7 linked regions of the Rattus norvegicus genome follow. The protein of the gene in region 3 purifies or fractionates together with the protein of the main gene of each other region. This does not show direct contact. Links are inferred from orthologs where the notes say so. Each region holds a gene or a part of one and is shown on either strand. Other genes may lie near its edges.

Region 1 (4,131 bases), on a different chromosome or scaffold from region 3:
TGCCAGACACTGAGCTGGCAGACTTGGTGGTGCCCTAGTCTTTCACATGGGAAGTGAATCTATATAACAGGGATGCTACATTCTGCCCCATCTCCATCCCAAGCTGTTGCTACTGGCTACCTGTTTATGGTAATAGCACTTCTGGCTGGGACTAAAGGTGTGTGCCCACACCTGGGAAGTTTAAGTTTTTGGAGACAAAGCTTGGGCTTATTCAGAAAGCATTTAGTACAATCGTTTGCAAGGCACTGGGAAAGACAGCAGCACTGCCGTTTTTGCTCAATCCAGCAATAGGATCTTGCTAAGACCCTCCTGGGGAACTAGAGGAACACAGCTTCTAACGGAAGGTATCACTAAAGTGCCCACAGAAACCAGCAGGCAAGTGGGCAAAGAAGATGTCTGGGAATAGTGGCCAGAGTTGACTTTTTTTTTTTTTTCCAGGAAAAGCCACACACCTGCTCTGTGTGGCCACTCTTTTTACATGTTGTAAATCCATTTATTTTCTAAATGAAGGCCGAACTGAACACTTCTGCAGGGCCGACTTGGGTCTAACCACCACCCCCACCTCTGACTAAAAGTTGTCTCTATTTGGGGCTTTGGGCCACACAGCTGAGGACAAGCTTGTATCCCAGGGCGGACGTCTGGTGTTTCTTACATGTCATCTGAATCATCTGAAAGTCTTGTTTGACTGGCAGGTCATGCCTGGAAAGTTTCTTTCCTTTGGGGTTAGCGGAGAGGTAGCTGAAGCTGACCTAGGCTAATCTGTAGTCTTGAACCCACGCCTCTCCTTTGCCTTCCTCGGTAATTCCCAGGTGCTGCAGATGCTACTGGCCCCTGGGTTGTTCAGACGAAGGCTTGAGCTACATTTCAGGGGCTGAGAGCTACTGCCACAGAGGCTGCCGGTCGGTTGCGCTGTGAAGGTGCATCTGCCTGCTAGTCGTGCCAGTGGTGGCGGTGCACTCCCAAGCTACCTCTTGACCTGGAGTTTCAGTTCTAGAAGGCCAGGTCGGGCGGAGGAAGGTGTTAGATCTTAATAGTTAGGAGAAGCCTCTGGAGGAGGCGCAGGTGAACCACATGAGCACGCCCCGGCCGAGGAGCAGAAAGCAGGACCGAATCCTGTTCTCCTAGGGATCTCTACCTAGTTCATTCGTTCCTGGTTTCCCAGGCAATCTAGAGTGCACTCTATCCTCCAGTACAAATTTCTCGCCCGCAAGATCGGGGTTTAAAGGCGGCTGCGCCGTAGAGCACTCCCATGGTGCCGCGCGCTGGGCGGGTTTGTATTTTAAATCCCCGCGGCCAATCAGCAACGCGCAGGCCCTTGTAACGTTCCCAGCGCTGCGTTTGAATTCGGGGAGGAGCGGAGCAGAGCAGGATCCTCTGCACCTACCCGGCCAGGTCCGTGGAGCAACATCGGCATCATGAATGCAGCGGCCAAAGCTGGAAAGCTGGCTCGAGCACCAGCCGACCTAGGGAAAGGTGGGGTCCCGGGAGACGCAGCTCCCGGTGCCCCAGGGGCCGCCCCGCTGGCGAAAGAGATTCCGGAGGTCCTGATGGATCCACGCAGCCGGCGGCAGTATGTACGGGGCCGCTTTCTGGGTAAAGGAGGCTTCGCCAAATGCTTCGAAATCTCAGACTCAGACACAAAAGAGGTGTTCGCAGGCAAGATCGTGCCTAAGTCTTTGCTGCTCAAGCCCCATCAGAAGGAGAAAATGTCTATGGAGATCTCCATTCACCGCAGCCTCGCACACCAGCACGTCGTAGGCTTCCATGGCTTTTTTGAGGACAGCGACTTTGTGTTCGTGGTTTTGGAGCTCTGTCGCAGGAGGGTAAGTGTTTCTGGGGCTCCTACACCTGGAACTTGCTGGCAAAGTGGCACCGAGGTTTTGGAGTGGCCTAGAGGAGTGTTTGGGTTTTATTTAAGCTGTTATGGAAAGGCTTCTAGCGACGGTACTTGGCACTCCGGATCCTGTTGCTATTAGTGAAGGGGCTCCTAGACGCAAGGCTGTGAGTGGGTACAGGAAATGGATGCGTAAATTGGCTAAGGAAGGGTTCCAGGCTTGAGGTGCCGAGGATCTCGAACTTCCGGAGTGAGGCAAGGTCGGGGGAGGGGGCGGCTGTTTGGAGTCAGACCTTAGAGCTTTCAGGAAAGGGAGGGGATCTCCTGCCAGGAGGAAGCCCTGGGATAGGGGATCGAGAGTGGGGTTGAGAGAAGACTCTGTATAAGGGCACTAGTTAAGAGGGTCCGGTGAATGATAGTGACGAGTTTATGGGCAGAGCTATCAGAAACCTGCCAAAACTCTCCACTCCGAGCGCCTAGTTGGCCATATTAAGCTGGCCACCCTACTTGGGCCTCAGTGACCTCTTTCCTCCTCAGTCTCTCCTGGAGCTGCACAAAAGGAGGAAGGCGCTGACCGAGCCCGAGGCCCGATACTACCTGCGGCAGATAGTCCTGGGTTGCCAGTACCTGCACCGCAATCAAGTCATTCACAGGGACCTCAAACTGGGCAACCTCTTTCTGAATGAGGATCTGGAGGTGAAAATAGGTGAGGTGCTGGGCCTGCGGGTGCCTGTGCCAGCCAGCACAAGAGTCGGGAAGGAGGGGAAGGCTGGGAGGAGGGAAAGAGAAGTGCTGCCCTCTGGAAAGGAAATGGAGGGGGGTGTTGCCTTTTTTAGATACATTGCTGTGCCTCAACTCAGTAGTTTTGAACTTGGGGTGCCTCCCCAAATACTCTTTATCCCCTAGCATTGAGCCAGACCCTCAGCCAATTTCTTTTTTAAACAGGAGATGGGGGACATAAGCTATAGGGCATGGCAGGCGGTATCTCCTCAGCTGTCCCCTTGAGTCTGACTTGCCAGTCCCTAGATCCCTGTCACTTCTTCACACACTTGCTCAGCAGCAATCACGAGATCACTTACTTGATTCTCCAGTGCATTTAACTTTATTTATATGAGGGATGGAGACAGGTTAACTTCAAGGAGTCCGTTCTCTCTTCCACTGTGTGGGTTCCAGGATCCTGACTCAGGTCATCATCAGCCTTGGCGGCAAGCCCCTTTACCTCCTGAGCCATGTTACCTAACCTTAACCCTGCTATCTAAAGAGGGGTTAAAGGGCAGTGGGAGGCCAGCTAGGGCCAGTACAGTGTGTGTGTGTGGGGGGGGGGGGGTGTTCCGGGACTATGGGGGTCTCAAGCCACTAAGTTGTCAATGCTCAGGCTTGAAACAGCTGTTTGCAACCTTAGACAGCTGATCTAAGTAGCTGAGCACCCTCTCTTCTTCCCTCTGTCCCAGGGGATTTTGGCCTGGCAACAAAAGTGGAATATGAAGGGGAACGGAAGAAGACCCTGTGTGGCACTCCTAACTACATAGCTCCCGAGGTGCTGAGCAAGAAGGGACACAGCTTTGAGGTGGACGTGTGGTCCATTGGGTGCATCATGTAAGTTGGCAATGAACTTGGGCTTCTGGGCCTCAGCAGGAGTCTCTGGGGCATCTCACCCAGTTGACCTTACCAAGTGGATCTTTCTACCTTACAGAAAGGCTGTTTTAGAGGACAGGCTGCCCCACATGAAACCCTGGTTTTCATGTCAGTCTGGCATAGGCTGTGGGGATCCCTGTAACTTGGACTTGTTTAAAAGCAGTCATAGACCAAAATCATCAACACCTGAGAGCTTGTTAGGAATTCAGAATCTGAGATCTGAACCTGGGTTTAATACAATCCCTGCCTGATTTTCCATGAAAATCAGGAAGCCCTGCTGAGTGCTGATGGGAGAGTTAGGCCAGCAGATAGTCTGGTGGTAAGCAGAACCCCCACCATGGTGGCCTCTGGAACCCTTGGAGAGTCCTCTGTCACTGCAGGCCAGAGCCAGGCAATCCCTGACACCTCGGAATCCAGGTGTTTTCACTTGCATTCTTCCTAGTGCTTGCCCAGCCTTTGGTTGCTGGGCAGACTTGGAGAGCATCCCATCCTTTCCCAGTCAGTGAATCCAGCACAGCTTCCCCAACTCTGGTCCCAAGACAATGACTTCTACATTTGGATTTTCCTTGGAGTTTGAACAGAATTCCTCCTTGTATCCCCAGGTATACCTTGCTGGTGGGCAAGCCACCTTTTGAGACCTCATGCCTAAAAGAGACCTACCT
Region 2 (4,114 bases), on a different chromosome or scaffold from region 3:
ATTTATTAATTTATTTTATGTGTATGAGTACACTGTAGCTATCTTCAGACACACCAGAAGAGGGCATCAGATCCTATTACAGATGGTTGTGAGCCACCATATGGTTGCTGGGATTTGAACTCAGGACCTCTGGGAGAGCACTCAGTGCTCTTAACCGCTGAGCCATCTCTCCAGCCCCTGAAATCTTTATAATAAAATACTAAATGTGTGTCTAGGGAAGTGTTCCAGCAGTGATGGTGCTTGGCGGATGGCAAGCCAAGCTAGAGGACCTGACTTTGATCCCCAGGTCCCCGCAGTGAAAGAGCACATTTTCCCTCAGATCTCCACACCTGCGCTGTGCTGTGACAGACGAAGGCCATACAGCCACCCCCCAGAAAAGCATTTTAAAAAATATTTAAGTTCTTTTATCCCAGCAGGTGGATCTCTGTGAGTTACAGGACATCCAGATCTACATAGTGAAATCCTGTCTCGGAGGAAAAAAAAACCTCAAAACGTAAATACAGTCTAGTAGAGTGACACACGACCCTGCCCTGGGTGGTGGTGTGGGGTACATTGTCTTTATGGGTTCCGGGCAATTCAGAGTTAACACTGAAACAGCATATAAAAGTCTCAATATACAATGCTTACTGGAACTCTCATCAGTATTGGCATCTAAGAATAAGTGGGGAAGAATGTAGAGAAACAACCGTCCCACCCTGTTCAACTAACTCCCTCGGTGGCTGGCCTTCCAATCTCCTTTCTCAAAAGTCTTGTCCTTGTCTTTCAATCCGATCCCTAAGGCACCCGTTTTTTTTTCTTTCGTTTCTTTAAAAAAGCTCCTAAAAAGCAGTATGCTTAGTTATCCTTAAATATGGCACTCCCATAGTGCTCTCAATCAAAGACCAATAGGACGGCCAAAGTCTGCAAAACGTCCAACTACCCTAATCCCGCCAGGAACTAAACTTGAGCACAAGCAAATACAGCCCGCGGAACGCCCAAGCCGTCCACGGAAAAGAGTGGCTTCCGGAAGAGCAGGAATGACGGGAGGACCAGAGGTCTTGCAGAGGTTTGGGTAGTTAGAATTGTGCCTGTAAATTTCTATGTCCGTCAAGATAGGAACGTTGATTAACGAGGTGCAATACGCAGAAATCCCAGACTCTTTTCCCCAGGAAGGTGCAGCATTCCACCCAGTAATTTTTCTTCAGGCGTTTACAGTAGACACCCCGGTCGGGTAGCACAACGGCGCGAGCAGGGAAGAAACGCACACAGCCGGAGGGGGGGGGCGGGGAAATACTTAAAGTGTGCGCACGCGTACGCGGTTCACGCAGGCGCAGTGCGGTCCCCCGGGCGACGGCGGCGGCGGCGGCTCCTCCGGGTGGTCGGCTCCCTCCCATCTAGGCCGGCCCCGGCCCGTCTCGCCCCCCAGAAACTCACTGCTCGGGGCTGTGGACTTTCTCATCGTGCCCCACGAAAGTAAATCGGGGGAGACTGGGGGAGCCGGAAGTACCGCCTCGAGATCCCCAAATACTATCGGGGAAACGGAAGTGGCCCTTGGTGCCAGGTTGGGGGAGACCGGAAGTGACGGTACCGTGGGGAAGTCGGGGGCGGAGCCACAGGGTGGTGGGCTGTGTATGTGTTTGTATGTGTTTGGCCGCGTGTTGGTTAAGTCGTGTTGCTGGAATACCGACGAAAGACGGAGGCGGAAGGAGGGGGCGGTCAGCGAGCCCATCCAGCCTCCCGTGAGTGTCGGTGGTCTTGGGTCTGTGGTGATTTAGGCGGGTTCGATTGTGGTGGCGCGCGTGCGCGAAGCTACTTTCTCTGCCGAGTCTAGCGCGACCCTCCCCCCCCCCCTCGCGTTGTCCTAGGATTTCCCGATCTCTCGGGCGCTTGCTCGGTCGCGACCGGTGATGACACTGGTCTCTGATCGGTCTCGTGCTTGCTTCCCCGATTCCTAGCCCAACTGGCTCTCCCTATTGTGATTGGCATTGTAGAGCCCCTCCCACCTCTCGTCCTTCATCTCCCTATGCCGTCGATCTCATACCCTTTGTGTTTCTATTCCTGTGCCCCCGAATCAAAAAGGGGGGATGAGGAGGAGGAGGATGAATATATGTGCTTGTGTATGTGAAACTTTCAAGGGATTGGGGCGGAGATTGGGTCCAGAGAGGCTTCCGGGTGTATAAAATACAGCGCGACCGACAGCGAACCATCCCCCCCCCCCTTCCTCGTTCTTCCTTAGAGAGCTGTCGGCCATGGAGCCGAGTGATAGTACCAGTACCGCTATGGAGGAGCCTGACAGCCTGGAGGTACTGGTGAAGACCCTGGACTCTCAGACTCGGACTTTTATTGTGGGGGCCCAGGTGAGACACCAGTACTTTGTAGAGATGACACCCCTTTTGCTCGTTTGTTTTGTGAAGGATGAGCCTGATTTTCTTGTCATTGACCCTTTTGTCCCTTACTCTGTAGGACATCTGACGTTCCTATTGAGCTGGGAGGTGTGGTTACCGTTGAGTGAGGCAGATTTTGTTTAGCCTGTCCTCACCTTGACAGAACTCAGAAGTGGGAGGTACAGAGGAGAACTCTATACCTATTCTGTGCAGACCTCCAGCCCAAAGGGACAGGCATGGCTCTGGCCTTTGGGACCAGACACAACACAGGGGGACCTCAGACCAGTATGGTGTGTCTGTTCTTTTTTATAGGTTACAGAAACCTGCTTCCATACACGGTGAAGTAGAATCGCCAATAGTTGAGGCATAATTTGAGTCTTGAGCTAAGTTCAGTGTGGCCACGTTTATCTTTTGTTTTTCCTGCATAATTCTTTGAGACACCATCATGCGCAGGTCATTTTCGTGGTTTTCTAAAGCAGATATTTAAAAAGCCACGTAGATTTTGTGAGTAGATATGTGTGATAGTTAATTCTGCCTGTTACCAAGGGTTGATGTGTCTTTCTGGGAGGTGGGGACACATAGCGGGGCTGCCTTTGCCTCTGACCATTTCGCCTTTACTGTCTATGTGCTTGGATTATACACACTGTGATAGAGGATTATGGGATTGTAGATTACCACATCTGCCTTGGCTTCGTCTTTTTTTTTTTTTTTTTTTTTTTTTTTTTTTGTAAAGTAGGGTCTTACATAGTTAAATGTCTTAGAACATTTATTTGTGTGTGGGTGTGTGGGTGTGTGGTTCTACTGGGCCTTGAACCTTGGGCTTAGCATAGAGTACTTACTACTGAATTGTATAGAACCATGTGTTCTTTTCTGACCTTCTTCATTAGTTACCTTTCCAGAACCTGGTTCCAAACCCCTGTATTACTTACCATTGGTGGTGATGGTTCTTTTGGGATGTGTGTATTTTCAATTCCTTTAAAAAATCTTATTTGTTTTTATTTTATATGTGAATGGAAATATTTGTATTGGTATTTGCAATACAGATTATAATAATTTGTATTGCAATATGTTTGTCTGGAAATATATATGTGTGCCTTGTGTGCACTTGATGCCTAAGAAAGTCAGAAGAACATATCAAATCCTGCAACCTGTGGCCTTCTCCTCATGTGGAAGTTAGGAAATTGTAGTCCCTATTGTGTTATGGATGACTGTAAACTACTTATGTGGGTGCTAGGAATTGAGCTCTGGTCCTGTTCAAGAGAAGAGCAACCCTGAGCTATGTCTCTAGCCCATCATTTTGTGTTTTAAGTCAGGGTTTTATTCTGTAGTCATGGCTAGCCTCACAGTCAGATCCATCTGCCTCTGCTTCCTTGAGATTAGAGGCTTTCTGCTACAGTGCCTATCTGCATTTAGCCTTGAGATTACAGCCATGAACTCCTGCTATTGTTTTAATTTAGAAAAGGACCACGACTATCTCTAGATAGTGAGCCACAGAGGAGAAAGGGAGAGAGAGCTATTTGGCTTCTTGTTTATAAGATTTAGTTTTATTTATTTACTGTTGTTGCTATTTTTTTTTTTAAATAAATTTAAGACAGTCTCTCTACATCGCCTTGGCTATTGTAGAACTCACTATGTAAACCAGGCTGGCCTCAAACTGACAAGAGACTCACATGCCTCTGCCTCTCAGAGGCCTACACCACCGTGTCCCACTTACTTGTAATTGTGTGTTGGTGTGGGGGATGTGTACCTCT
Region 3 (4,016 bases):
CCTAAGACAAACACTAATAAAATCTAATCGCATTCAAAGAGTTCCGGCATCTTTGTCACACAACTAATTCTGTTTGGTGGCAGCTCAAACCTCAGTGATCTCCACTGAATCCCTTAGGCCTCTCTTTAACATGGAAATTGTAACATTAAGTATGTCATTGATGCATTTTTTTCAACTTTTTTCATGTTTTACATTTATAGGGGGAGGGGTGATAAATGCCAATGCTTTGGGGAGTTAGTTCTCCTTCCACCATGCAGATTATAGAGACCAGACTCAGATCTTTGGCTTGGCAAAAAGTGCCCTTACCTGCTGAGCCATCTCAGCAGCCCCAGTTGATAGATTTTTTTACATATGCTCAAGCTGCGTACTCACCACCTACATTGAGTTATAAAACATTTCTACCATCTGGGCATGCTAGGGTAACTGATACTTCTTTTTAAGTACGTTAGTTTTTACTTCTTGTTGAAACAATTGACTGGAAGTAAAAAGCATGCATTCCTTTGTTTATCTCTGGTGGGCAGTGGAGGTCAGAGGTGTCGGGTTACCCTAGTGCTGGAGTTATAAGCGGTTATAACTTGGTGCATATCCCCAGATAGGTGCAGTCTTTTTGTTGCATCCTGTTCCTATCAGCCCAGCTGGTGTCACCTGGTTAGGCACCCACACCCCTGTGACATTTTGCGTGACATCCCTTGTTTACGGAGTACTGGAGACATAAGAGTGGATCACACGAAGACTCTCTCTCCTTCAGTATTTGGCTATCAGAGCTGCTTTGCTTGAAGAACATGGGACGGAATTTAAGAACATTAGTTTTCTTGGCTTCTGGACTTCCCTGGAAAGTGTTCTAGATCAAGCAGGAAGAAACAATCTCCTTTATGCACCTGCAGGAAATCAGAAGAGCCCCAGAGCAAGGCCTGCAGGGCGCTAACCTCTAGACGAGCGCTCTGGAACCTCGGGACTCATCCAATGGCCCAGAGACCGACCTGGCTCAGCTCCACCCAGGCCTTCCCAGCCAGGCAACAGCCATACTTCCGACCCCATCGCAGCGGGACTCAGTTAGGCCAATGGCCGCGCTTCCGGCCCCACCCCTCCCTCCCTCCCCACGCCTGACCAATGGCCGCGTGGCTGGCCCCGCCCCACTCCGCCCCTTCATCTGGGAGGGCTCTGCACAGTCGAACGCGGTCAACCTGTTTCCTAGTCTGGTTTCTTCTTGGTAAGTTCGCAGCCTGGGTGTGGGTCCTCAGTGCTCTGTGCTCACTGAGGTTGTTCAGGGAGGGGACCTTGGTCAGAGCCGAGTGCTCCTAGGATTTCGCAGGAGCGCCCCGGGCCTGGGCGCTCGGTGCCAGAGAAGATCCTGAACCGGATTAGGGGAGAATGCGGTCTGCCCCATACGGATTCGCGACCCCGGCAGTTCCTTGAACCGCATCCAGCACCTTTAGCAAGCAGGTAGGTGGTGCAGAGCGTTTGCCCAGGCTGGACAGAAAGAACCTCGGAGTGCCCCCTGCCTCTCCCAGGCCCTGGTGACTCGAGCGAGGCCTGGCCGCAAGCAACGACCTGTGGCAGCCGCGCCAGGGGGTAGGCCTGCCAGTCCGGGCTACGGCCTGATCCTGGATCTGGACAGTTGTAGGCAGTGACATCTGTTCAAAACAGCCTCTCTGCACTTGGAGACCTGAGTCCCGCCAGGAATCTAGCCTGAGGCCAGGAGACTTGTCTCTCGGGAGTGTGGATATTTATTTCCGTGACCGGATCAGAAGCTCTGTGGAAGTCAGGTCGGAAGTTTTGCTGTATCCAGGACGCCCCTGCCATCTCCCTTTCTCTGATATAAGAAAGAAGTTTGAGGAAAAGGATGAAAACAAGAGAAAGCAAAAAAAAAAAAAAAATGTTCTTTGGATACTGCGAAGCTTCAAAAACTTGAAGGGCATTCAGCCTCGATCTCAGAACTCAGGTGAATGTCAGTGAGGGCAGCATTAATTCCAGCTGTGTCTGAGAGACTTTTATGTCTTCAAAAAGCCTAAATGCTGCATCTTCTCAAACTTTAGTCTCATCCCCAGGCAATGACCTTGGCATAAAGATGGGTTTTGTGGCTTTTCTGCTGCAGGGACCTCTATGCTATTAGTCCGTGGCAACAAGTCGGGGGGTACAAATTCCACACTGCAGGTCAGCCGTGTAGCTTGGTATCACTTCCTCTCTTGTGATTGTGTCAAAGGATTTAAGTACAAGAACCCCAGGCTGCTTCTGTTAACAGAAAACCCTCAAGAAATGAATAAATGTGAGCTTCCTCTGCTTCTGGTGGGGTTACATGCCACTCCCCACCCCTAATCTGCATTCAGTATTGTGGTTGGACTGCAGAAAATCACTAATTTGACTCCCTCGTCATATTTTTCTAGGTGACCTGGGAAAGGAGGAGGAAGGGTTTCACTTGGCTGGCCTCTACAGAGGTATCATTTTTCATCCCCTGAAGGCCCAACAGACCTCAATCTTATCTCCCTTTATCTCCTGACCTTCTATCCGTAGCTCTTCATAAGCATGTAGCATTTGTTAGTTAGCTGTGCTAGAGTTAACATGGGCTGAGGTCACTAGGCAGAACCGGTACCTAATCTGTGTGGCAGGGGCCTGCACCTGCAGCAACCGTAGATATTCTCTGCACTGTTTCCCAGAGGCCTATACTCCCCTTCCTTCTTCTCTCCTGAACAATACTCTTGGAACCCAACAACTTGTTAAACTTGTCAAAGTGGAGCTCTTTCCATGGCTTCTCACTGCCTTCCCTAGTGTTGTAAATGGCACCTTCCTTGCCCCACCTCCCAAGAAGAAGCAATGTTTGATCCCCACCCACCTCCCATGTCCGAAGAGCACCAGGAATGTAGCTGCTCATCCCCACCTCTGTTGCCATCCTGGCCACACCCACCCACCATCCTCCTCTCAGTTGGCTGGGACTTTTCACCCTTTTTCATCCTGGGCTTCCTGAAGACTTTAGAACCTCCAGAGAGTTCTGCAGTGCAAATCGGAGCCCTGGCTCGTCAGTGATTTCCCTGTTCCACACCAAGTAAAACCCAAATTCCTTCCCACAACACCTTATGTGCTAGTGGCCTCTTTGACCTTGACCTTTGTCCCACCCCTCAGCTTTAAACCACTCACTTAGTTTCTCTTCATTCCAAATGCCATCAGGTCTTAGGACTTGGGCATCTGCTTTGCCATCTGCCCAAGATGCCAGTCTTTTCACAGTGGAAAATCATTCAGTCAGGCGTTACCAATCAGGGGCCTTTCCTTGATCACCTCCGTTTAAGCAAGGAATTTCCTCCTGGATTCTGTCCCATTGTCTCCTTTTACTTTCTTCATAATCAGAATTACTCTCTGGACTTGTCATCTGATTATGCACTAATGGATCTGGTACCTGTACCACACCAATAGTAGATAAATTGGATGTGGCATATCTTGTCTTTCTTCTCGCTGATGTGGAGAACAACTGAGAGACAAGTGAGCAAAACACGTGAGTGCAGATGGTGGTGCTTCATACGTAATGCTTGCTTTTAAGGCACTTTGCTGTGTTTAAATGGTGGGATGGCTCAGTGGGTGAAAGTGCGAGCCTTATGACCGAGTTCCATCCCTGGAACCCATGGTGGAAGGAGAGAACCAAATCACAAAAGTCGTCCTCCGATTTCATGTGTGTGCTGTGACATGTGTGTGCACACATTCACACACCCATCATATACATACAATAATAAGTGAGTAAAAATATGGAAGTGGCATATTTTTAAAAAATTTAGGCTTAGAGGATCTGGAAAGAAGGCTTAGTGGGAAGGAGCACGGCTTGCTTTTCCAGAGGACCCAAGTGTGAGTTCCAGTACCCACGGGACAGCTCACAACCATCTGTGAGTGCCCTCTGCTGGCCTCTGTGCACAGACATACATGTAGGCAAAACATTTGAGTACATAAAAATAGATAATAAACCTTGGGCCTGGAGAGATGGGTCAGTGGCAAGAGTACTGACTGCTTTTCCACAGGACCTGGGTTTGATTCCT
Region 4 (4,167 bases), on a different chromosome or scaffold from region 3:
CCACCCTGTCCGACACCGCCCCAGGACTGCAGAGAACCAGCTCACATCAGAGAGGTGGCCAAAGGGGTTGGGAAAGATGAGCTTGCTGTGCTCCCTGTGCAGGCCCTTCCCCTCGCAGACGCTGCACAGGTCGTAGTCGGGGCACACACTGCACTTATAGCGAGTTCCCACCACAGGCCCATTGCAACCATCACAAATCACGTTGGGGTGCACCATGCTTCGTGCCTCCTGAGCACATGGGGGGCGATGTTCCCGCCGGCACTCCTTCTTCTCTGCAGGGAGAGTCCAAGAGTCCAATTTAGTTGCAGGTAAACCACTTAGGAGGCCAAGAGGTACCAAGCCCTGCTCTGTTCAACACCCATGGCCCACACAGCAGGACCTTTGTACCTCTGACACCTCCCAACCCCCCTATATCCACCCCAAGGCATCAGAACTCATCTCTGTCCTAGAGACAACTCAGACCCCTGAGCCTTAGAGGAAGTCCGATGGGAAGTACCTGGATGCAGTCTTTACCTTTAATGTAGATGCGGAAGATGTCATCTTTCACATAGGACATGGCCATTGTCAGTTCCTCATCACTGGAGAAGGCGACCAAGTCCCCATCCTCATCTAGATTGTTTAGGAAACAACATATCAGAGCCAGGGACACAGCTCATTGGTGGAGCGTGCAGAAGACTTAGGTGCCATTCCCAGAACTAGAAGCCGAAAGGGCAGCACAGGTACCCAGCATCTGCTGGATGCCCACTGCTATGTACAGGGAGCCCAATGGTAAGGGACATCTACAGAGGCTCTAGACGCAATCTGAGTGCTGGAGCAAGCAGCCAGATGGCCACTCATTCTGATATGGCGTGAGTACATGTTCTAACCCAAGTCCTAGATCCGGTACATGCACAAGGCAGAGCATATGTCATGTGTGTAAGGGTCCAGCTTCCTGCCACAAACCACTGGGCCATTTGTGCCCTCAGGCCACACGTAAGTAGGCCAGGTCCATTTTCACCTGGGAGATTCCAGCCAGTACCCTGTCCTGATGGTCCAGCCCTTCAAAGGCCTCAGGCTTCAGAAGGAAAGGAGGTAAGCCCATCTGTCCCCTCCCTTCAACTACGTGACCAGAAACCACTGTGCATTCAGACGCTGTCTAAGTTGTTCTGAGGTTGAGGTTGCTCTGTTGGTTTTGTTTTTGTCAATTCTAGGTTTTCTGCGCCCTGCCTGGCCTGAGACTGCTTAGAACAGGACAGCCTCCAACTTGTGTAGGTGAGCCTCCTTAGTGCTGGGATCACAAACATATGCAACCAAGCTGCCAAGTGGTTTGGGTTTTTTTGGGTTTTTTTTCTTTTTTGCCTTTTGATATTTACTTTTACATATGTATGTACGCACTTGAACACACAGACACACACACACACATACACACATGCACACTTATGTGTATGCATGTGCCACGAAGGCCATAAGAGGGTGTGGGATCCCCAGGAGCTGCAGTTGATATGAGCGCTAGGAACAGAACTTGGGTCCTCTGGAAGAGCAGCAAAGGCTTTAACCACTGAGTCATTTCTCAAACCCATCTGCTTTCATTTTTACATTAGCACACAGGTACTGGGAGCGCAGCCATATATTTCTATGTCAGTACAAACAGTCTTCAACCACCTCATACAGGACAAACCACACATCTGCAGGCTAGGATATATATATATATATACATATATGTGTGTGTGTGTGTGTGTGTGTGTGTGTGTATCAGGCTAGGCTATACACACACACACGTAAAATTTATAAAAAAAAAAAAGATTCTAAACCGAATGTGATAATAGTTATATAACTCACTTTTTAAAAAATGCAAGGAGTTTGGGGGGCGGGGTGGTAGCTCAGTCAGTCGAGAGCCTAACATACATGAGGCCCTAGCACAAAGATGACTCGGAAGGACATTAAGACCTGGGTGAATTGTACTGGACCTAGGTTAAAACTCACTTACACTGAACATTTTTTGTCCAGAATAATCCCTATGATTCCTGCACTGGAAAGCTGAGACAAGAGGATTGAAGTGAGGCCAGCCTAAACCACTCGTAAATTCAAGGCGAATCAGGCTACGTGGCTTTATCTCAGAAAAGAGACAGACTGATCAACCAACCTGGCCTACCCACAGTCCTCCATAAAGAGATCTCAATCTTATCCCCTCCCAGGGGGAGGGCCTTGTCCACTAGTCTCTTGTCAACAACTTCTAGCTCCACCCCATGCAGCCATCAACCACTGCAACGCAAGAGACGGAGCTAGTTCCGGGGTCCCCTACCTCCCTTCCCACGGGCTGCCCCACCCCGCCCCCGCCGCTTATTTACCCGCGTCACTGCTCTCCACCCCTCCTCCACATCTGCCCGGTCCCAGCTCTTCCGGGCCTTTAACTGAACCCATCACCTGATGATACGAGGAGCAAGCGAACCGCGGGATGTCAGCTGTAACCTGAGCGGCCGCCTGACCACCCTGTCCCCGCGGGCAGCCAGAGGACACGCCATCGCGTCCTCGCCCAGACCTGATACTCCGCGGCGGGGGAGGATGGCTTCCCCGCCCCGAGCCCTTACCGCGGTAGTGCGCCTGAAAGCCTCCAGGCCGCAGCGCGGGGAACAGCACAGCCACCCGGCTCAGCAGCCTCTCGCAGGGCCCCGGGCCAGCCGCGGCTTCCGCCTCCGGCTCCGGGCTGAAGCAGAAGCTGAAGCGGCGGATCTCGCGGGCCGCCTCCTCCTTGCCCAGTAGATAGGCCTTCACCGTGAGCGAAGCCATAACCGCAGACTAGGTACGGAGGAAACAGCTGGGCAGCGGCGGCTCCGAGAGCCCAGCTTTTATAGGATACGGGGGGAGCCCCGCCTCGTGGGGGGCGGAACCTCTCTGAGCTCCGCCCCTCCCCGCTGTCCGGGCGGCCGCTCGAGGGCCCTTGATAGGACCCCTGACAGGTATGGGGGCGAGACGCCCCCACCGCCTCCTCTTTTTCTTTCCCTCCGAATGCATGGGTGACCCCAAGAGACCAGCCTCAGTCTCAGTTCGATGGGAAAAGGGCCGGTAAGTATCCGAGCCTAGGCTCCTCCCAGGTTTGGGCCTGCTTATGACTCAGCAGTGTAGTCCCCAAGCCAAGGGGGATGGATGCCCCAGCACAGAGGCTCAGACGACACAGATGCCTACTGTCAGGTAGCCATTCCTTGGCCAAACAAGCTGTTTCACGGGATACTGTTCCAACCCTCCCAAACTTAGTGTCCCCCGTAGTAGCCCTCCACCCTACTCTCTCTTCAGGCATCCACCATGACCAGCCCCTCACTGAATAAAGGGACATCATCCATATGTTAGGCCTGATCCAATTTGACAAAGACTGGATGTTGGACTAGCACTGGTGACTTCTCACAAACCCACCCTGTAGGAGGGGTAGCCAGGGCTCCAGAAACTGCAATAGTCACCACTACTAAGACTGAGATTCCTCACAACAACCCACATAATACACACACACACACACACACACACACACACACACACACCACAGCACACAGGCTCTAAGGGCGGAGGGGAAGGAGCATGTATCTCAGGCCTTAGTGGCTTCAAAGAGCACAAAGGAATCAGACCACTTGCCCTCCAACTAGGAACTAAAATACAGGCTTTAGCCAGTCCTGTGACACAGACTTGTTATCCCAGCTGTTTGAGATGCTGAGGCAAGAGAATACCAAGTTCAGGGTCTGCCTGAGCAGCTTGGTGAAGCTGTTTCAAACTAGAAAGTGATCTGAGTACTTGGGAGGCCAGAGGTTCCGGAGTTCAAAGCCAGCCTTGGCTACAAGAAGCCTCTCAAAAAAAGGGGGGGGGGGGGCAAAATAAAGAGGCTGTCTATGCAGTTTAGTTAGGATACAACTCATGGGGATTTAGCTTAGCATGGATATACTCAGGGAGATTTAGCTTAGTAGGGATACAGGTCATGGGAATTTAGCTTAGCATGGATATACCCAGGGGGATTTTAGCTTAGTAGGGACACAGTTCATGAGGATTTAGCTTAGCATGGATATACCCAGGGGGACACCACTAATGGGGATTTGGTGCATAAGGATTTGGTGCTCAGTGACAGAGTACCTGCCTGGTATATGTCACATCTTAGGTTCAACCCTCAGCACGAAGGCCAAAACCAGGAAATGCTGCTTTCTGTGGCAA
Region 5 (4,212 bases), on a different chromosome or scaffold from region 3:
TTATAGTAGCATGTGCTATCCTAAATAGTAATTATTACATAATCTTCTATTTAGCCATATGATTATTTGATTATCATCCATTTCCCCCTCCATGAGAGCAGGGCTCACATCTGGTTTTGTTCACAATTATATACCAAAACCTAACCCACAGTCTGGTACAGAGCCAATGTGCAGCTAACGTCTTGGATAAGAATTAGATTAAAACAGTAGAAGGGGCCCAGCTTGGCTCCCCTTGTCTAAGATGAAGGTGAGGTGACATGTGGAAGGACACCAGCTATGGTACTACACAGCTGGAACTGTTGTGCCCGGCGCATCTGGATCCCTGATGTTTGAGAAGCATCTGGACCCTGAAGCAGAAAGGAGGTCAGAAGAGAAATCTCAACTTCCTGCTTACCTGGGAGCGGGACTGTTCTTCCCAGGCCAGAGCCCCAAGAGGTCCTGGGCAAATGGCAGCCCCACCTCATCCTCGGAAAACTGGAGCCTGAAACACTCAGAACCACGTTCTCTCCTGTTGCCCTGCAAAAAGAGAAGTGTGAATGGGATTGGCAAATGGTTCAAGGAGTAAACACTCCTGCTACCAAGCCTGAGGACCTGAATTAAATTCCAGGAACCTACAGGGTAAAACTGCTCCCAAAAGTTGTCTTTGGACCATTGCACCCAAACCCACACCCACCATAAACAAATAAATAAATATGTAAGAGAAAAACTTAAGAACAAGCAAAACAACAATAAGGTAAATTTAAAAAAAAGTGCTGTGAAGGTATGGATGCATCACACACACACACACACACACACACAAAAACACACACACACATACACATACAGACAGACACACAGACACATACACATACAGACAGACACACACACACACAGACACATACACATACAGACAGACACACATATACACACACACACATACTCATACAGACACACACATACACACACATACACACATATACACACAGGCACACACACAGACAGACACACACATATACACACACATACACACATATACACACATACATACACAGACACACGCACATATATAGACACACACATATACACACGGCAGACATGAGCACACACACACATACACACAAACATACACACATACAAACACATACACACATCTCTTTCTCACACACATACACAGACACATGCACACCTCTCTCTCTCTCTCTCTCTCTCTCTCTCTCTCTCTCTCTCTCTCTCTCCCATCCTTACCCCTAGTATCTAAGAAGGGGCCATCTCCCAAGGGAGGCTTAGCCCTTCCTCATATGTATAAAAGAAGCCTTTGAAGCCCTGGCCTGACCTCTAGCTATCCTCAGCAAGGATAATCCTAACCCGAGTGATTCTGTTTCATCTCCTACCAGCTCCTGCCTGGCACGGAGGTTTCACAGCTGCCTCAGCCCTGAGTTCCAGCCCAATCATCTGCTTTTAGATTTTATTTCTGCTCGACTGCTAGCAAGCTCAGAGAGGAGCCCTGTGCTGACTGGCGGGCCTTCTCTGAGCCTGGGTTTTTCCCCCACTCATCCTTACTCATTTCCTTCTGCCTTTGCGACACAGCCATCAGATCCTCTTAGCGGAGTTCTAATGGTTGTATCACTTTGCTGTCTCTCTGACTTGTATATAAGACTGGCACAAGTAATAGATGGATGCCTGAGTGAATGAATTTCCTGCTTGACACAAGGATGCTCTGCCACCTCTGCCTTACACTTCAGCCCACTCCACCCCCTGGTCACTTTGCAGATGAGCTCCCCCAAGCCCTGGATTCACACGCTATTCCCTGGCTCTTTATCCAAATCCTTCCCCTAGAGGCAGTGGTGGCAGTCCTGATGATCTCTCCCTACAGCCTCTTTCATCATCTCAGAACTAAGAGATCCTTCCAGACCCTACAAAAACCCCATTTCCTCAAGTCCTCTGCGCCCCCACGGTGGGCCTATTCCCCTCCCTCATTCCATGCAGAAATCAGCTCCCTGAACTCCTAAGCTACTGACGGCCATGAAACCCAGGCCCACACAAGCTATTTTTCCAGGTTTGCCCCCCAGCCCACGCCTCATGCTCCAGGACTGCTACTGGATCCTTGCTCTCTCTCACCTTCCTAACTTAGCCCCTATACTTTGGTTAGCATCTCCTTTATCAGAATCTCAGGCACTCTTCGAAGATACTGCTCAAGGTACTCTTTCCCAAGGAGTCTCTTCTGGCTCCCTGAGCTCTTTGACATGGACGTGCCCCTATGCTGGCGTGGCCTCCCTCACTGACGCTGGGGCTGAAGGGAGGGCAAACTTGGGAAGAGGCTGCACTGAGGAACCTGCTTTAGCATAGCTAGCCAGAGCCTGGAGCTGGCAGAGGTGTTGAGTGGGCTGGAAACAGGAGTCCTGGGGGCCGGAGAAAGGTCAAGAAAACCTGGCAAATCGCAGGATTGACATAAATCAGCTCCAAGTTCGCTGATAAGACCCGCAGGGTCTAGGATAATTCGCTAATCAAGCAGTTGTCATGGCACTAATCAAAAGAAAGGATCCAAGAAGAAGGTGCGGAGCTCCCCCACCAGACTGGGTCCCATACAGCTTTCCCACTTCCACTTGGCTTCGGGGAGCAAAGTGAAGCTGTCAGTAGGCCCGTATTCAGCGCCCAAGCTCCAGCAGAACTCCCAATGCCACTTGCCCACTCCCGCGACCCAGCTGTCCGGCCCTTGCTTCCGGGGCCCAGCGCAGCCGTCCAGCCAGGGCGAGCAGAGAAGCGATCGACCCAGTTAGGCCTTTACCCAGGCTGCCTAGGCCCTGGTGCCTGTCGCCGCGGCCCGGAGGAAAGGAAGCAGGCGTCTCCCGCTGGCTCCCAGCTTCCCTGGCTCGTTCGGCAGCGCGCGTCTAAGCCGCCTCCGCCCGTCAGCAAGCGCGCAGTCCGGCCCACTCTGGCACCCCGCCCAGCCTGGACGCCGGAGCGCACTGAGCGGAGACCTGCAGAAAGAGGATCGTGGGTGCTGGCGCCGGGCGGAGACTCCGGCCCCACCGGGTCCTCCTAGGGCCCAAGTTCCCGTACTGCCCCCTGCAGGTTCCCAAGCGTCAGGCCCAGTCTATGACCTCATATGCACCTCCAAGTCTGGACTTGTTGATAAAGCCCATTTTACAGATGAAGACAAGGAAGCGCGGAAGAGTAAATGACTCGCGCAGGCCTTCCCTGTTGGAAGTAGATAAGTCAGAACAAAAGCTTTTCTAGGCTTTTCTCATCCACAGGGCATCCTGACCTTCCTTCCTTGTCACACCCGTAGCTCACCTACAGGCAGAAGACAGAGCTCTTCTGTGTCATTCAGTTCCAAGACTCTAGGGGGTGCCTCGATCACTTTGCCAGGAAAGAAAAATGGGTCCTAGTAGACACTTCCTTCTCCAACCTGTTCTTCCTGTCTGACATCCCATCATGGTTTAGTCTTGGGACTTCGGGGTTCTAAAAACCCCAACCCTCATCCCCTTCATTCAAGGAACACCCAAGGTTCCTTGTAACCAAGCTGGCAGAGTAACCTTCAGCCAAGGAACGCCTCCACATGCAAACATGGGTGTGCAATGTGCAGAGAACAGATATGAAATAGAGAACTCAAGAGACAGGCTCCTCAGGACAGCGCTGAGAAGAGGTTTTTGTGGTCTACCCTCCGTTGGAACAGGAAAGAATGGTCATAATTTCATCTAGGCGATTATCCATTCGTTCATGTGTGGTGTTAGACCAGTACTGAACACTCACCCTGGGCTGCCAAACAGAGTCAGTCATGCAGGGACCCACCATGCTGACAATGAATTTCTTCAGGGGCTGAGGCAAACTATTAGGAAAATTACTACCTGCTTCTAGCAGAGACAGTGACATTTGAACTGGCTGTTAAGAAGTCAGAAGGGCATACTGGGCAGCATGGAAAAGGGCATATTTACATTTTAAGAGATGTTCTAAGATTGGAGAGATGGCTCAGCAGTTAAGAGCACTGGCTGCTCTTCCAGAGGACCTGGGTTCCATTCCCAGCATTTACACAACAGCTCACAACTAGCTTTAACTCCATTCTCGGTGGATCTGATGCCCTCTCTTGGCCTCTTCAGGCCCTGTGTGTATATGGTGTACAAATAAACACGCAAGAAAACACCCATACACATAATTTTGTTTTTTACTATTAAAAACAAAAGAGTCTGGGAGGAGTTGGCACATGCCTTTAATCCCAGAACAAGAAGGCAGAGG
Region 6 (3,500 bases), on a different chromosome or scaffold from region 3:
TAGGACATGGATATATCAATCATTCTACTATACTGGGTGATGGGCCAGGACCCTTTGCTTCTACTTGAAGGTATGTGGAGGAGGTAGGATTCCCAGTATACTTCCCTTTCCCTCCACAATTCTCTTTGCAATGGTAATATTTGCTGTGTCATAGATCCAAACTTCACTTTTGTATCTGGTTTCATCAGACAAAATGTCCAGCTTTTTGCTGTGAATGGAAGTCTAGGGCTTCTGTATACATTGAACCCCTTGTGCTGATTGAGAGAACTCTGTTCTTTGTCATGTACTCCTACTGCCTTTTTCTTCTAGACACTGTCTTGTTGGATGAGCAGGCACCTCTGGAAGAATCAGTTGAGTGAGATGGTGCAACCCAGTGGTGGCCCAGCAGAGGACCAGGACATGCTGGGTGAAGAATCTTCTCTGGGGAAGCCAGCAATGCTACATCTTCCTTCAGAGCAGGGTACTCCTGAGACCCTCCAGCGCTGTCTGGAAGAGAATCAAGAACTCCGAGGTAAAGGTTGCAGTGTGAGGGAGGCATGAAGTTAAAAGTTAGGAGGGACCTGGCATACTTATGTAAGGACAAAGCTTATTGTCACCTGCATCTCATAATTGGCAGGGTATGAAGTCATGATGTGCCCAAGAACCAGCCAGCATTTCAAACTTCGCTACTTTGCTTCATTTCAAGTAGGGTTTTCTGTGAAGAGTCACATACAGAAAATAATGTGGTTCAAAGCCAGCACAAGGGAAGGGAGAAGGGAAGGGGAAGGAGGGTAAGCTAAAAAGCCATGGTAGGTAGGGGAAAAGTGGGATATGGGGGTCAATGGGAATAGGTTTATTCTTGGGACATAGCAAGCTTTTAGATAGGAGGGGATATATTTTTCTTCAGAGAGAGAGGGTTTTTTCCTAAGATGAAATGTGGCCTGCTCTTGGAAAGGTGTGGCCAGCTCCAGTAAGAGATCTTTGAGTATGTCTTCTGCACTGGCATTGCCTTCTTGCTCATGTTCACATTCATTTTTAAGGTGATGTTTACTGTTCTTGAATATGCAGCTGAAGAGAATGAAACTCATAGAACTATTAGCTTGTTCTGTCTGTATCTTCTGGGCTCCCAGGTTGCAGCCAGAAAGTACACAGTGAAATTTGCTTTGGGGACTGTTTCATTACCTCCCCAAGTGTTTCAGGCATGTTTAGGACTCCCTGATTCTGAAGACAGAGATGCAGGCCCAGGAGGACTGGGACTGAGTGCTCCAGGGTAGGGATACCTCCAATTGACCAGAATATAAATGAGGCACTTAAAGTTGATTTTGGTGAATCCCTTTAAGCGAAGGATCTGTGTTTAAGTAATACACTGTAGACACTTGGGGGGTATATCATCAGTGGAATTGGCTAGGAATTGGTTTGACTTCTTAGAGAAAGGCCACTTGGTATTATAGGGTTACCTGGCTGTTAGGACTCCTGTTTTGCTGTCTTCCCTATCCCTAGATGCTATCCGGCAGAGCAATCAGATGCTGAGGGAACGCTGTGAGGAGCTGCTGCATTTCCAGGTCAGCCAGCGGGAGGAGAAGGAGTTCCTCATGTGCAAATTCCAGGAAGCCAGGAAGCTGGTGGAGAGACTGAGCTTGGAGAAGCTTGACCTGCGGAGGCAGAGAGAACAGGCCTTAGAGGATTTGGAGCATCTGAAGAAATGCCAACAGGTAGCTAGTGGATGGGCAGGCCCTTCTGCCCCACCTGTGTTTGAAGACCATATCGACACTCATATGCCCATAGGAAGTATGTTGTTGGAGGTGCCTCAGGACCTTTTCAGGCTTGATTGCTGGGAGCCCTCTTAAAACCAAGAGAATCCATCACACTCACTGTTAGTTTATTACAGTGAAAGGGTCCACATCAAAATTATCCGAGGTACAATGCATATGTTGTAGGAGCCAGGAGGGGCCAGATGTGAGCTTCTCAGGGAGCAGTGCTTTTGCTATGAATGGTGGGGCACTGTGCACAGAGTACTATCAACCAGGAAACATTCCTAAGCCCTGGAAGCCAGGATTTATCTTGGATTCACTTTTAAAGGTACGGAGTGCTTGGGTACCTAACCTAGCTTGCTCAGGTTCTAGCCACCCTGAAGTCTAACAGGGACTATACCATGTAGTCCAAGGCCCTCACATACCCTGCCAGCAGCTCAGACATCCTGGTTGAGCCGTAGGCCCAGGATAAAACAAGGCAGTCACATCAGATAGGATTTCTCAGGGGCTCAGAGATGATCCCCACCAGTCTTTGGAGGAATTATGAGACCCCAGGCCTGTGAATTGGCCCTGTATTACACAATCACCAAAGGATAGTATGCCTAGTGTGGAATGAGGTGGTATTTCAAGGCCTTTTGGACTGGTTGGTTTCAGGACCCTGGTGACAATAGTTGAGCAGGGATTGTGCCATCTGAGAGGACTAGTCTAGGGGAAAGGGTAGAGTAGTCCCTAGTTTTGGAGGTCAGAGGTCTAAGATGAAGGTATGGGCAGGTAGGTTCCTCACAGGGATATTTCAGGTACTTCTCCATAACTCTCTTGTCACATAGCCTTTTCTCTTCAAAATTTTTTATTATATTTTATTTTGTGTAGTATGTATGTCTGAGCTTGCACTCACACGTGTGGATGTGGGTATTGTCATGGGGTGCCAATTTAGGTGACAGGACAGCTTGCAGGAGTCAGTTCCCTCATTCTACTATGAGTGCCAGGGATTGGACTCAGGTTGTTCTTAGGCTTTACCCATTGACCTTCTGAATTTTCTCACAGTCCTCCTGTCTTTTCATAAGGATACCAATGTGAAACAGGAAGGTAGACAGGTATTAGAGCCATGAGAATAGATTTTATTCAGTAACTGGTAACGAAAGGGAAAGAGCTAGCTAAGCTCTGATGATCTGCAGAGGTGACTGGGTCTTTTACCTTTTTTTTTTATTTTTGGTTCTTTTTTTCAGAGCTGGGGACCGAACCCAGGGCCTTGCGCTTCCTAGGCAAGCGCTCTACCACTGAGCTAAATCCCCAACCTTTACCTTTTTTTAAGATTTATTTTTATTTATGTGTTGGGTGTCTGTGTCTGTGTATAAGTGCCCTTGAAGGTCAGATGAGAGTCTCAGATTGTCTCTAACTGGAATTCCTGGTAACTATAAGGTACCAGACAATTGTGGTGGTAGGAACTGAACTCTGGTCTTATAAAAAGTAACAAATACTCCCGATCACTGAACAGTCTCTCTACTTAATGACTGTGAATTTTAAAATGAGAATAGTGGCCAGAGTGTGTATGCTTTGCATGTGTGAGGCCTAGAGTTTAGTTTTCAGGGCTTCAAAAAAATAAAGACAGAGATGCCGATAGAAAGAAAATAAAAGATTAGGCTAGGGGAAGGAACTCAAGTGAATTCCAAAGGGTATTAGTATTAATGTGATGAGACCAGTGTGTTTATAACCTTATACAAATCAAATGTAGGTTTTTACCATAAAGACTGGGAGTCTGAGTCCTTTCTG
Region 7 (3,976 bases), on a different chromosome or scaffold from region 3:
GAGTTAGACAGAACAATTTGCAAATTCATTTGGAATAACAAAAGACCCAGGATAGCAAAAACTATCCTCAACAATAAAAGGACTTCAGGGGGAATCACCATCCCTGACCTCAAGCAGTATTACAGAGCAATGGTGATAAAAAGTATATGGTATTGGTACAGAGACAGACAGATAGACCAGTGGAATAGAATTGAAGACCCAGAAATGAACCCACACACCTATGGGCACTTGATTTTTGACAAAGGAACCAAAACCATCCAATGGAAAAAAGATAGCATTTTCAGCAAATGATGCTGGTTCAACTGGAGGTCCTCATGTAGAAGAACACAAATTGATCCACTCTTATTGCCCTGTACAAAGCTCAAGTCCAAGTGAACCAGGAACCTCCACATAAAATAAGATGCACGCAAACTAAGAGAAGAAAAAGTGGGGAAGAGTCTCGAACACATGGGCACTGGAAAAAATTTCCTGAACAAAACACCAATGGCTTATGCTCTAAGATCAAGAATCAACAAATGCGACCTCATAAAACTGCAAAGCTTCTGTAAGGCAAAGGACACTGTCATTAGGACAAAATGGCAACCAACAGATTGGGAAAGATCTTTACCAATCCTACATCTGATAGAGGGCTAATATTCAATATATACAAAGAACTCAAGTAGTGAGACTCTAGCGAACCACATAACCCTATCAAAAATGGGGTTCAGAGCTAAACAAAGAATTCTCAACTGAGGAATACCAAATGGCTGAGAAGCACCTAAAGAAATGTTCAACATCCTTAGTCATCAGGGAAATGCAAATCAAAACAACCCTGAGATTACATCTCACACCAGTCAGAATGGCTAAGATCAAAAACTCAGGTGACAATAGATGCTGGCGAGGATGTGGAGAAAGAGGAACACTCTTCCATTGTTGGTGAGATTTCAAGCTATTACAACCATTTTGGAAATCAGTCTGGAGGTTCCTCAGAAAACTGTCATAGTACTACCTGAGGACCCAGCTATACCACTCCTGGGTATACACCCAAAAGATTTTTCAACATATAACAAGGACACATGCTTCATTATGTTCATAGCGGCCTTATTTATAACAGCCTGAAGCTGGAAAGAACCCAGATGCCCTTCAACAGAGGAATGGATACAGAAAATGTGGTACATCTACACAATGGAATACTACTCAGCTATCAAAAACAATGACTTCATGAAATTCATAGGCAAATAGATTGGACTAGAAAATATCATCCTGAATGAGGTAAGTCAATCAGTAAAAACATACATGGTATGCAGTCATTGATAAGTGGATATTAGCCCAAACCTTGGGTTACCTAAGATACAATCCACAGATCACATTAAGCTCAAGAAGGACGACCAAAGTGCAGATGCTTCAGTCCTTCTTAGAAGAAGGAACACAAATATTAATAGGAGGAAATATATAGACAAAGTTTGGAGCAGAGACTGAAGGAAAGGCCATCCAGAGACTGCCCCACCTGGGCATCCAGACCATATATACATACAGCTACCAACCCTAGACAATATTGCTGATGCCAAGAAGTGCATGCTGACAGGAACCTGAAATAGCTGTCTCCTGAGAGGCTCTGCCAGAGCATGACAAATACAGAGGCAGATGCTCACAGCCAACCATTGAACTGAGAGTGGGGTCCCCTTTGGAGGAGTTAGAGAAAGGATGGAAGGAGCTGAAGGGGCTTGCAACCCCATAGGAAGAACAATATCAACCAACCAGAGCTCCCAGGGACTAAACCACCACCCAAAGAGTACACATGGACAGACCCATTGCTCTAGCTGCATAAGTAGCAGAGGATGGCCTTTTGGGGCACCAATGGGAGGGGAAGCCCTTGGTCCTGCCAAGAATTGACATCACAGTGTAGGAAATGTCTGGGCAGGCGGGTGGTAAGGGGTGGGCGGGGGAACACCATCATAGAAGAAGGGGGAGGGGAGGTGGAATAGGGGGTTTATGGAAGAGAAAACAGGAAAGAGATAACATTTGAAATAAAAATAAAAAAAAATCCAATAAAAAAACTTCAAGATGTGCATTCATTATCCTGAGTACATCATCTAAGAGTATATTTCCCAGTTATTAGGCTTGTGTGTGTGTGTGTGTGTGTCAGACACACACACACACACACACACACACACACACACACACACAAATTGATGTCTTTATTTACCCTGATATGTTCCATTGTAAGCTACACTTGAGCACAAATGCATCAATGTAGGCATGCCCATACGTTCCTCTATCTAAATGTCTATGTACAGAATATGTATGTATGCTCATCTATTGACATTTGTGGGGAGCACTCCCTGGGCTCTTCTCTAAGCTCCTCCAAGCCTAGTACTTCTCTCAACTTCCTTTAGGGTGCTGAGTATCTTAAACCCACTGAAATTTCTAAGTGGCTAGCACTCTCCTCAATCGAGGGTCTTCAAGGGGCTGGGGTTTCCCCGAGTTCCCCCCTCCCCTCTCCCTCCCGGACTAGGTCACCGCCCTGCTTCTCCTGCTCATGGCACTAGGAAAGTCAATTTCAGAGACCAGCTTTCACAGGGAAGCACGGGCAGCCTGGCAGGGTTGGGACTAGAGAACTCCGCTGAAGAGAAGCAGCAGGTGGGCTAGGAAATTCCGTGTGTAGGGCGCTAGTGGGAAGCGGCTCCTTGAATCTGTGGCATTGGGGTGGGGTGGGGGGAGCCCATCTAGTCTGGCCAGGGGTCCCATCCTCACTCACCTTACCAGGGTCCTCAGACTTGGCTAGGCTGTTTTCAGCTTCACTTTTGCAAGCCCGCAGTCTAATTTCACTTTCAGTTTCCTCTCAGAGGTAAGCTTAGAAGGAAGAGGGAGGAGCAAGGGGAGGAACAGGGAGTTGACTGGCAAGCCTTGGAGGCAGATAGGGCGGAGACTGGGCAGAGAGTGGGAGGAGAGTGGTCAGAGGTGCCAGAAACTGACTTCAGGCCACAGGCAAAGGAAAACTCAGTTAATGTCTTCTTGGGTGCAGTCTCTCTAAGGCCTCCTTGTCACCTTTAACAGACTGTAATCTACAGGATATCGACCTTTGACACTGGTCTTTACTTCAAACCTGGGAGCATCTGGGAGAAGAGGTCTGGATGGGAGAGGAGTTACTATCTTTTCTAGAGGGATCTTCCCACAAGACTGATAGTTCTTTAAAATCCGGGTGAAAGATCCTGGCACTGTTTTTGTTAACATATATTAATTGCACAGTATGCTTGACATATGCCCATTTCCCATCCCTCTGTCTTCTCGTTTTGCTCCCCTCTTTTCAAATAGTCTAGGGTGAGAAATTTATTCCTAATGATGTTAGGGTATGTGTTGTAGCAATGAAGGGAGACTTGTGGACATTGATTGTATTATAATTTGCGCTAAAACCATCAGGTGAATTTTCCTTGCCATTTATCATATTTAGGAAATAAAAGCATTCCGTGCTTTGAAATTTCCAGCCCTGTTTAAGAGATCCTTCTCAGTAAAAGGTCACCAGGCGACATCTACTGTCTAGATTGTGCTGTTGTATTGGGACTTGATTCCAGGAACACAACAGCTCCAGGAAGCAGAATGAAAAACAGAGTCAAGCATCTGAAAGGACAAAGGCATCTGCAAACATCAGAAAATGATTCTGCTTCACACCACTGAAGATCTGTCGCTATTTCCTGCAGGCAAAGAACTTGGGTCCCAAAATAAGGTAGTGGTAGAGTCAATGTCTATTTTTCTATTTACCACTAGATGACGCCTTATCTGTTTCAGTTTACACACTGGATAGAGAGATTAATACACACCCTAGGGTTGTGGTGATAAATACTCTATAATGTGCACACAGGATGACCAATGTAATATACTCATAGCTGCCTCAGCTCCCACCTTGGTAATTATCTGAAGACCCAAACTCCTGAAGAACAAAATCTCCTTCACTCTCAGCTAGTACTTTGATATCTCAACCCTCCTTCCCCTGGGCGAA

What was found.
Region 1: the proteins of Mavs (region 3) and Plk1 purify together in Homo sapiens (affinity purification with mass spectrometry; 3 studies listed by BioGRID and IntAct, counting the BioPlex papers as one, with this or other methods). This does not show direct contact. The link is inferred for Rattus norvegicus from reciprocal best matches to the Homo sapiens genes MAVS and PLK1.
Region 2: the proteins of Mavs (region 3) and Bag6 purify together in Homo sapiens (affinity purification with western blotting; 3 studies listed by BioGRID and IntAct, with this or other methods). This does not show direct contact. The link is inferred for Rattus norvegicus from reciprocal best matches to the Homo sapiens genes MAVS and BAG6.
Region 4: the proteins of Mavs (region 3) and Sqstm1 purify together in Homo sapiens (affinity purification with western blotting; 3 studies listed by BioGRID). This does not show direct contact. The link is inferred for Rattus norvegicus from reciprocal best matches to the Homo sapiens genes MAVS and SQSTM1.
Region 5: the proteins of Mavs (region 3) and Nlrx1 purify together in Homo sapiens (affinity purification with western blotting; 4 studies listed by BioGRID and IntAct, with this or other methods). This does not show direct contact. The link is inferred for Rattus norvegicus from reciprocal best matches to the Homo sapiens genes MAVS and NLRX1.
Region 6: the proteins of Mavs (region 3) and Ikbkg purify together in Homo sapiens (affinity purification with western blotting; 4 studies listed by BioGRID and IntAct, with this or other methods). This does not show direct contact. The link is inferred for Rattus norvegicus from reciprocal best matches to the Homo sapiens genes MAVS and IKBKG.
Region 7: the proteins of Mavs (region 3) and Trim21 purify together in Homo sapiens (affinity purification with western blotting; 3 studies listed by BioGRID). This does not show direct contact. The link is inferred for Rattus norvegicus from reciprocal best matches to the Homo sapiens genes MAVS and TRIM21.

The regions. Positions count from the first base shown.
Region 1 is NC_086019.1:186,146,327-186,150,457, forward strand, and holds the start of Plk1 (serine/threonine-protein kinase PLK1), read left to right. Parts: upstream 1-1,331; 5' UTR 1,332-1,415; coding exon 1,416-1,823; intron 1,824-2,371; coding exon 2,372-2,540; intron 2,541-3,285; coding exon 3,286-3,430; intron 3,431-4,071; coding exon 4,072-4,131. UniProt on the Homo sapiens protein: Serine/threonine-protein kinase that performs several important functions throughout M phase of the cell cycle, including the regulation of centrosome maturation and spindle assembly, the removal of cohesins from chromosome arms, the inactivation of anaphase-promoting complex/cyclosome (APC/C) inhibitors, and the regulation of mitotic exit and cytokinesis.
Region 2 is NC_086038.1:3,690,530-3,694,643, reverse strand, and holds the start of Bag6 (large proline-rich protein BAG6), read left to right. Parts: upstream 1-1,314; 5' UTR 1,315-1,563; intron 1,564-1,569; exon of another isoform or gene 1,570-1,620; coding exon of another isoform or gene 1,621-1,718; intron 1,719-1,806; exon of another isoform or gene 1,807-2,096; intron 2,097-2,215; coding exon of another isoform or gene 2,216-2,228; coding exon 2,229-2,336; intron 2,337-4,114. UniProt on the Homo sapiens protein: ATP-independent molecular chaperone preventing the aggregation of misfolded and hydrophobic patches-containing proteins.
Region 3 is NC_086021.1:138,903,596-138,907,611, forward strand, and holds the start of Mavs (mitochondrial antiviral-signaling protein), read left to right. Parts: upstream 1-1,216; 5' UTR 1,217-1,443; exon of another isoform or gene 1,444-1,942; intron 1,943-2,384; exon of another isoform or gene 2,385-2,435; intron 2,436-2,447; exon of another isoform or gene 2,448-4,016.
Region 4 is NC_086028.1:35,034,951-35,039,117, forward strand, and holds the start of Sqstm1 (sequestosome-1), read right to left. Parts: upstream 2,801-4,167; 5' UTR 2,767-2,800; coding exon 2,568-2,766; intron 610-2,567; coding exon 514-609; intron 273-513; coding exon 46-272; intron 1-45. UniProt on the Homo sapiens protein: Molecular adapter required for selective macroautophagy (aggrephagy) by acting as a bridge between polyubiquitinated proteins and autophagosomes.
Region 5 is NC_086026.1:53,500,494-53,504,705, forward strand, and holds the start of Nlrx1 (NLR family member X1 precursor), read right to left. Parts: upstream 2,801-4,212; 5' UTR 2,765-2,800; exon of another isoform or gene 2,665-2,764; intron 2,642-2,664; exon of another isoform or gene 2,098-2,641; intron 2,079-2,097; exon of another isoform or gene 1,371-2,078; intron 517-1,370; 5' UTR 465-516; coding exon 395-464; intron 1-394.
Region 6 is NC_086039.1:157,375,885-157,379,384, forward strand, and holds part of Ikbkg (NF-kappa-B essential modulator), read left to right. Parts: intron 1-309; coding exon of another isoform or gene 310-324; coding exon 325-511; intron 512-1,479; coding exon 1,480-1,691; coding exon of another isoform or gene 1,692-1,694; intron 1,695-3,500. UniProt on the Homo sapiens protein: Regulatory subunit of the IKK core complex which phosphorylates inhibitors of NF-kappa-B thus leading to the dissociation of the inhibitor/NF-kappa-B complex and ultimately the degradation of the inhibitor.
Region 7 is NC_086019.1:166,396,572-166,400,547, forward strand, and holds the start of Trim21 (E3 ubiquitin-protein ligase TRIM21), read right to left. Parts: upstream 2,801-3,976; 5' UTR 2,738-2,800; intron 1-2,737. UniProt on the Homo sapiens protein: E3 ubiquitin-protein ligase whose activity is dependent on E2 enzymes, UBE2D1, UBE2D2, UBE2E1 and UBE2E2.